2 linked regions of the Lepisosteus oculatus genome follow. The protein of the gene in region 2 interacts with the protein of the main gene of each other region in a biochemical or structural test. Links are inferred from orthologs where the notes say so. Each region holds a gene or a part of one and is shown on either strand. Other genes may lie near its edges.

Region 1 (3,907 bases), on a different chromosome or scaffold from region 2:
GGATCAGACCCTGTTCTTGCCTGTGTGCTGCATGTTGCTCCGAGCTCCATGTGCCTCAAACTCCAGCAACACGCTTCAGATCTCCAGTGCTCCTTACGCCGTGAACGAATGAGCGGGGTGGTGTCAAAGCTGTTAATGGAGATGTGAAAGGCTTTCAGTTTATGCAGTGTTTCGTACCAAACTGTTATGATACTGTGTCCATCTCCTAGCTTTAGCTTGCTGGATTGAGAGACTGCTGCAGGACCCTTCCTTTTTGAAGTGAGCATCTTTCACAGTAGTGATACAGCTGACAACACCCGGCATCAAAGGGAGCGACGGTGTCGCTGCAAGTCTCTGCACAGGCAGGAGGTCGATGTGGGTCAGAAGTGCTGTTGGCCAGGCCATGACATGACAGGGCTGTCCTGCGGCCCGGGCCTGTGCTCTGCAGCACTGCTGGAGGAGGAAACTGTACTACCAGCTCTCCTGTTACTGTGTGACTGTGCAGCAGTTAGACTACCTGTAAGTGGGGAAGAAATTCTTTCTCTGTTTTGTGTATTTAATAAAAATAAGATGCATTTAAAAACCTTTTCAAGTCCTTGCGGGAAGGGAGTTGTATAGCTATGTTGTTGAGAAGATTTATATCCTTCCCTTTTCTAACAGCTTCTCCAAATTCAGGGTCACAGGGGAGCTGGAGCCTAACCTGTAAGCACAGGGCAGGGTACAGCCTGGACAGGACGACGGCCCATCACAGGACACACACTCACACACTCGCAACAGGACACACTCACTCACTCACTATCTCTCCAGGGCCAGTTTTCCCAGAAGACATTTACCTCACCAACATGCCTCCAGGTGAGAATATTCGCTTTACGTGAAAGTCGTAAATAAACTTGGTGTGAATTTATCCGTGATGACACATCAGTGGGTGTCCCTATGCGCAAGCACTTTCTGACAGGGTGCAAAGTGCTTAAATGTAAACATGAAACTTACCCAGCAAACACACATACTTTCAACCCTGCTTTCATGGACTAGTTTTTTGAAACTTGTTCAATTTTAAAAATGTCAGTCTGCCTGAGCTCTGCTTCTACAGTAAATACCATCCACTTTAAAGCCTAAAATAATTGAAAACACTTAGTTATGCACATATACACTGTGTTACTGGGACTTAGTCTTTCCAGAGCATTTGGCTACTTCCAGAGAGAGATGTTTCTCTGTGTTTCACCTTGAATACTCAGTGATAAATACACAAACACAGAGTTAATTACTTCCTGCGTTGTGCTGGAGCCCAGAAGGACACAGAACAAATCTGAGAGGTGGCTTCCAAGTTTAGCTCTTAGACCAGTTTCCTCCCAGTTCAGCAATCTACTCCAGCAGAAGTACGGTCTCAAGGTTTCTGTTGTGATGGTGAAGTTGATCTCAACTGGCATTGCTGGAATAAAGTACTTCTAATTATTTCAGGCAATAAAAACCGTGTCAGTTTTTACAGACTCGATTAATGACCACTTATTACACAGGAAATACGGCGTGAGCAGTGCTAAGCGTCTGGTGCATCTTTCCCAGAGGCTTTTGAGGGGATAAAAAGGACCAACCTCGTGAAGCGAGCGGGTCGGTCCTCCTCGCCGCCAGAGGGCGCCGACAGCAGCGTGTCAAACGCCCCTGCCGCCTGTCTTTTAAGGAATGAGCTGTGCTGCGGGTTGGCGTGTCTTTGTTCCGCTGTGGAGTCCGGAGCGAGCGGAGAGCGGTCAGCCCGCAGAGCCCAGCCGGGACGCAGCTGAGCAGGGAGGCCGGGACGGCAGCGCCAGCCTCCTCGGAGCATCCCGAGATCTGCGGACGCGCATCGCCCAGCCGGCGGGGTATCGGCACCTCCAGGCGCCCGTCTCGGCTGGGGGTCCGATCGGGGACCGGGGTCCGGGGAGCCCACCAGCAGGTTGGGAACAAGGATACGGAGCCGTCGGCGGTGCAGCCGGGGGATCTGTGAGGAAGACCGGGACTTTCCTAGGATCGGCTCCGCAGAGTGAATGGGATGGAACCGGGGCCATCTGGAGCAGGTGAGCCGCTTAGACGGGGTCCAGCGGGACCGTGCGGGCAGCTCCGGGTTCGGCGGGGGAGACTGGACCTGCAGGCGGAGCCCCCGACCCTGACGGGCCGAGAAAGCGGCCAGACTGGTTCGTGTGCCCTAGACTGGGGGGAGGTTGCTGGTCCGGGCAGGGTGACAATGGGAATGCTAATTCGGGGGCAGGAAGGCTGGGGTCACATGCGGGGGCGGGGGTCATGCAGCTGAGGAGACTCGGGTCCGACCCGCGCTCTGCACACGCGAGTCAGGTGAGAGGGGCGTGTCGCGAAGTTCGCACGCTGGAGCGGCAGACCTGACAACTTCCAGCGCTGTGGGCAGAGGGTCTGGGCGCCGCGGTGAGGCAGGTCAGGTCCGTGGAGAGCGGGTCTCCGGCGCTCCTGGCTGGTTAACTGCGGGAATCAGGCTCGTCGGCAGCTCAGATCGGATGACAGAGCCGATGCCTCCCAGGGTAGCACTGGCAGAGCTCAAATCTAACTTTCACTGGTTCACACCTTTCTCTGTTCCTACTTATCAGTGATGTTTTTCCATGTCGTGGCTTGACGTTCTCTGCCCTGGCTTCTGTCCGGCTGGGCAGTGTGGTGTGTCCTGTGCCCACAGGGGTGTGTGCTGCAGGCTGCCCAGCGAGCGTCACCAGGGCTCTGGCTCTGTGGTCTGTAGACCAGTGTAAGTGCCGATGGGCACTAGTGGACACAGGTCTGCTGCTGTGTGTGAGGTAGACGTGCCCTGGGAGTGATGTCAGACGCCTGCCTCGCTGCTTCAGCTGTTAAAATGTGTTCTGCAGCTCAGGTCACGCACATGACGGGGTTCACCCCAGAGCTCACTGCTTCCCTACGTTTGCTCTGAGTCTCACACTTCACCTGGTGTTTCTGGCTGCTGGAACATGCTACATGGTGTCCGGGGTTGTTGCAGAGCCCATGTTTCTGTCCTTATTGCTTTCTCGCTGGCTGTTCCCAGGGTGGTGTTGGACAGAATGCTACGGAGAAACGAAACATCTTATTTCTTGTCACAGCTGAAACACAGTTTCTGTGCCAGTTTCCCTCTCTTGTCCTCGTTGATTTTCATTCCTCCTGGCCTGTTCAGTACTGAATCGGTTTGATTGGCTGGGTTAGACTGGTCCAGATGAGCCCAGTTCTGCTGGTGCTGGGAACTGCTGGACACTGTGCTGTTTTGTCCCTGTGAGACAGATGAGGCCTGAGCCGGTGGTCCTGCTCGCTGCTCTGGTCCCCCCGAACTGCCTGAACGGCCACTGCCACCTGGTCTGCAGTCATGGGGGAACCCCGGGTCCCCAGAAAGCTGCAGGTCTGTGCTGCTGTGTTTGCCAGTGTGAGTCACTGACCTGCGCTTTGGTGGAGTCCCTGTGATCCCAGCTCCCCGGCGACAGGGGGTCCTGGTTGGGGGAGAGCAGGTTGTTGGGACAGAGCCGCTGTCTGGCACGCTGGCGCTGTCTGTCGGGTCTGTGGCTGCTGTGTCTCCGCGTCCCTCTGCCAGCTGGCTGTGTGGCTAATTGCTGAAAGGAGGTGTGAGGGACAGGACCTGTGTGTGTGTGTTCTGGCAGGCTCTGCCCCCTCCCCGGGCCCCCGAATCTCCATGACAATGGGCGTCTCCATGCGTCTCCATGGAGCGGCCAGGAATGTGGCGGGGGGCCGGCCGGCTGACCCGAGCAGCTCTCTCTCAGGCACAGAGATGGCGTTGCGCTGCCGGGCGGCAGTGTGCCAGCCCCTCCAGGCGGAGATCTTCCTCGGCCTCCTTCAGGCACACCCTGACGCTTTTATCTCCAGCTCCACACGTCGCGCGAGTCCTGACTGACAGGCTGAGAGCTTGGCTCATCCCCAGGGAGTGACCGTGTGGGCTGAG
Region 2 (3,907 bases):
TGAGGGAGAGTCTGTGCACCGGTCAGTGTGTGTGAGGGTGTGTCTGTGTGCACCGGTCAGTGTGTGTGCGAGGGTGTGTCTGTGTGCACCAGTCAGTGTGTGTGCGAGGGTGTGTCTGTGTGCACCAGTCAGTGTGTGTGTGAGGGTGTGTCTGTGTGCACCGGTCAGTGTGTGTGTGAGGGTGTGTCTGTGTGCACCGGTCAGTGTGTGTGTGAGGGTGTGTCTGCGCACCAGTCAGTGTGTGTGTGAGGGTGTGTCTGTGCACCGGTCAGTGTGTGTGTGAGGGAGAGTCTGTGCACCGGTCAGTGTGTGTGAGGGAGAGTCTGTGCACCGGTCAGTGTGTGTGAGGGTGTGTCTGTGTGCACCGGTCAGTGTGTGTGTGAGGGTGTGTCTGCGCACCAGTCAGTGTGTGTGTGAGGGTGTGTCTGCGCACCAGTCAGTGTGTGTGTGAGGGTGTGTCTGTGCACCGGTCAGTGTGTGTGTGAGGGTGTGTCTGTGTGCACCGGTCAGTGTGTGTGAGGGTGTGTCTGTGTGCACCGGTCAGTGTGTGTGTGAGGGTGTGTCTGTGCACCGGTCAGTGTGTGTGTGAGGGTGTGTCTGTGTGCACCGGTCAGTGTGTGTGAGGGTGTGTCTGTGTGCACCGGTCAGTGTGTGTGTGAGGGTGTGTCTGCGCACCAGTCAGTGTGTGTGTGAGGGTGTGTCTGCGCACCAGTCAGTGTGTGTGTGAGGGTGTGTCTGTGCACCGGTCAGTGTGTGTGTGAGGGTGTGTCTGTGTGCACCGGTCAGTGTGTGTGAGGGTGTGTCTGTGTGCACCGGTCAGTGTGTGTGTGAGGGTGTGTCTGTGCACCGGTCAGTGTGTGTGTGAGGGTGTGTCTGTGTGCACCGGTCAGTGTGTGTGAGGGTGTGTCTGTGTGCACCGGTCAGTGTGTGTGAGGGTGTGTCTGTGTGCACCGGTCAGTGTGTGTGTGAGGGTGTGTCTGTGTGCACCGGTCAGTGTGTGTGAGGGTGTGTCTGTGTGCACCGGTCAGTGTGTGTGAGGGTGTGTCTGTGTGCACCGGTCAGTGTGTGTGAAGGGTCTGCAGGCCCAGCTCACCCGTCATGACAGCAGGCACCTGGCGGTGGGCGTGGTCTATCGCCTCGGCGATGCGCTGGATGCACTGGTCAGTGGTGATGTCACCCAGGGACGCCCCGGGGTGCAGGTTAAACATGGAGAGGCCCAGCTGAGCACAGCGCGACAGCTCGTCCACCAGCAGGACCCTGCTCTTATCACACACATCTGGACAGAGAGAGAGAGAGACAGGTCACAGCTCTTCACACACAGCTGGACAGAGAGAGAGACAGGTCACAGCTCTTCACACACATCTGGACAGAGAGAGAGAGATCTTTTTGATCTGGCAGCCCAGTATGTGATCTCCTGTCACAGCCTGAGGAACAGTGAGTCCGTCTCCCAATAATGCTCCAGCCGCCTACAGTATATGTCAATATTATATAATATGTCTTTGTTGTAAATGTCTGTAACATGTCTGTAGATTTTATTTTACTTCTATTTTTTGTTTTGTTCTATGTTAATTTTATTATTTTTATTTGCTTTGGCAACACTGATTGTACCTATCGGTCATGCTAATAAAGCACCTTGAATTGAATTGAATTGAATTGAGAGACAGGTCACAGCTCTTCACATACAGCTGGACAGAGAGACAGGTCACAGATCTCACACACATCTGGACAGAGAGAGACAGGTCACAGATCTCACACACAGCTGGACAGAGAGAGAGACAGGTCACAGATCTGGACAGAGAGACACACCAGTAGAGTTGGAATGGGGGCACTGCTCACGCACCTTGCTTGGGCGAGCCACAGTTCATCAGGTAGGAGCCGTGAGGCAGAATGAAGGCGGGCTCGACCCCGTGTTCGCGGCAGGCCTCCCGGAACCTGGCCGCCGCCTTCTCGTCCAGGGGGGGGCGCTGCCACGAGCGCTGGGAGCCCAGGAACATGGCGAAAGAGCGCCCCCCCAAGGACACACACTCCTCCACCGCCTTCCAGATGCCCCCTGCACAGGGCGAGAGGGCGAGAGGCAACGCTTGTGGGCTGAGACCTGCTCACCCCCAAGAGCCCGCCAGGTGTCACCCCTGTCCACAGAGGCCTGAGGAATCCGTCCAAGATCCTGGAAATATCCCGGGCGCGCCTGAGAAGTGTCCTGTCTCTCCCACCCGTGGGTGTGTCTGAGACGTGTCCTGTCTCTCCCACCCGTGGGCGTGTCTGAGAGGTGTCTTGTCTCTCCCACCTGTGGGCGTGTCTGAGACATGTCCGAGACATGTCCTATCTCTCCCACCCGTGGGTGTGTCTGAGACGTGTCCTGTCTCTCCCACCCGTGGGTGTGTCTGAGAAGTGTCCTGTCTCTCCCACCCGTGGGTGTGTCTGAGACATGTCCTATCTCTCCCACCCATGGGCGTGTCTGAGACGTGTCGTCTCTCCCACCCCTGTGCGCGTCTGAGAAGTGTCTTGTCTCTCCCACCCGTGGGCGTGTCTGAGAGGTGTCTTGTCTCTCCCACCCGTGGGCGTGTCTGAGAAGTGTCCTGTCTCTCCCACCCCTGGGCGTGTCTGAGAAGTGTCCTGTCTCTCCCACCCGTGGGCGCGTCTGAGAAGTGTCCTGTCTCTCCCACCCCTGGGCGTGTCTGATATAATGTTGCTATGGATGTAGGGACATGCGAGTCTCCCCACACCTGTGGGCATGGCTGACAGTGCCACTCCTACTATGGGCGTGTCTAATGCAATGCCCCTCCCGTTGAGGGTGTGCCCTAATATAGTCTCATTCCCAGCCATATCTGATTAACTAGCAGGAGCTCTTTAACCGGAAATAAGAGCCAGCAAATTCAGGAACAACTGAGTGACACTCCGTGCACAGTCAGCTGCAAACAGTGAGCTTGAATGTGGGCATTTGGGCATTCAGGACTGACCAAAGAAACAAGCTGAATTCAAGTCCTAACAAGCCAGCAGATCAGTTCGTACCCCAGTTCATGCTGGAATGAGCACCAGCAGTGTTCCTCCAGGACCAGGACACAGAGAACTGGGGTCCAGTCTGCTGGACTCACTGGACGGCCTCAGTCTCAGACTGCCAGCAGACTGGTTGGTCAGCTCATCACTGTTGACCGAGACCACCCTCTGCTCAGATCTGCCCATAAGGGCAGAGCCTGTGGGGGCAGGTGGAGTTTGCCCCAGCTGTGCAGCTGTGTTCATTTTGGGAGCTTTAGTAATGATCTGTAACTGCTGGGGCAGCTTACATGACAATGTCCCAGAGGGCTTTGCAAAACCAGAGCAGGACAACAGCAAAGACACCCGAGACAGGTGTACTCACACGTCCTAGAGACTTTCCCAGAACAGCTCGAGAGAGCACTTGCCCTCCTTTCGTTTGAAGCCTTTCTTATGCTCTTCGATAAACAAAACACTAATAAAAATAACTAAAAGGCGGTTTTAAAGACGGCGTGCGGACATGCTGACAGATGTGCAGACAAGGCAACAGCTGCAGGCAGATCGCCGCTTCTCTGCTGCTTTCCTGGAGATACAGGGACAGGGAACAGTGTCCACGCGACAGAATGTGGAAAAAACACGTTGATTTCGCATTAGCCGCAGGGCGACACAGTCACAGATGCCCGCCCCTACGAAACAAGCACACGACCCACAGGGTGAATTCACATCCGTGGGTGTGTTAGCAAGGTCATCAACTGCTCCGTCCTGCGTGTTACAGGTGGGTGTATTGTCCACGGTGCGTGCCGGGATACCTGCTATGGACACGTGCGCCCCGATAAACTTCTTCTCCCTTCCTCCCTGCGCTCGCGCCACCCTCTTCTTCGCCCCCTCCTGCCCCGGGGGCTGCGAGCGCCGGCCCTCCCCTCCAGCCTGCGCGCTC

The links.
Region 1: the proteins of tnrc6ba (region 2) and ago1 form a complex in vitro, tested with the Homo sapiens proteins (2 studies listed by BioGRID and IntAct). The link is inferred for Lepisosteus oculatus from reciprocal best matches to the Homo sapiens genes TNRC6B and AGO1.

The regions. Positions count from the first base shown.
Region 1 is NC_090706.1:142,453-146,359, reverse strand, and holds the start of ago1 (protein argonaute-1), read left to right. Parts: upstream 1-1,571; 5' UTR 1,572-2,002; coding exon 2,003-2,027; intron 2,028-3,907.
Region 2 is NC_090707.1:38,383,161-38,387,067, forward strand, and holds the start of tnrc6ba (trinucleotide repeat-containing gene 6B protein), read left to right. Parts: upstream 1-1,276; 5' UTR 1,277-1,434; intron 1,435-1,840; coding exon of another isoform or gene 1,841-2,050; intron 2,051-3,779; coding exon of another isoform or gene 3,780-3,907. Other genes in the region: probable endonuclease 4, read right to left, coding at 1,094-1,276, 1,841-2,050, 3,780-3,907.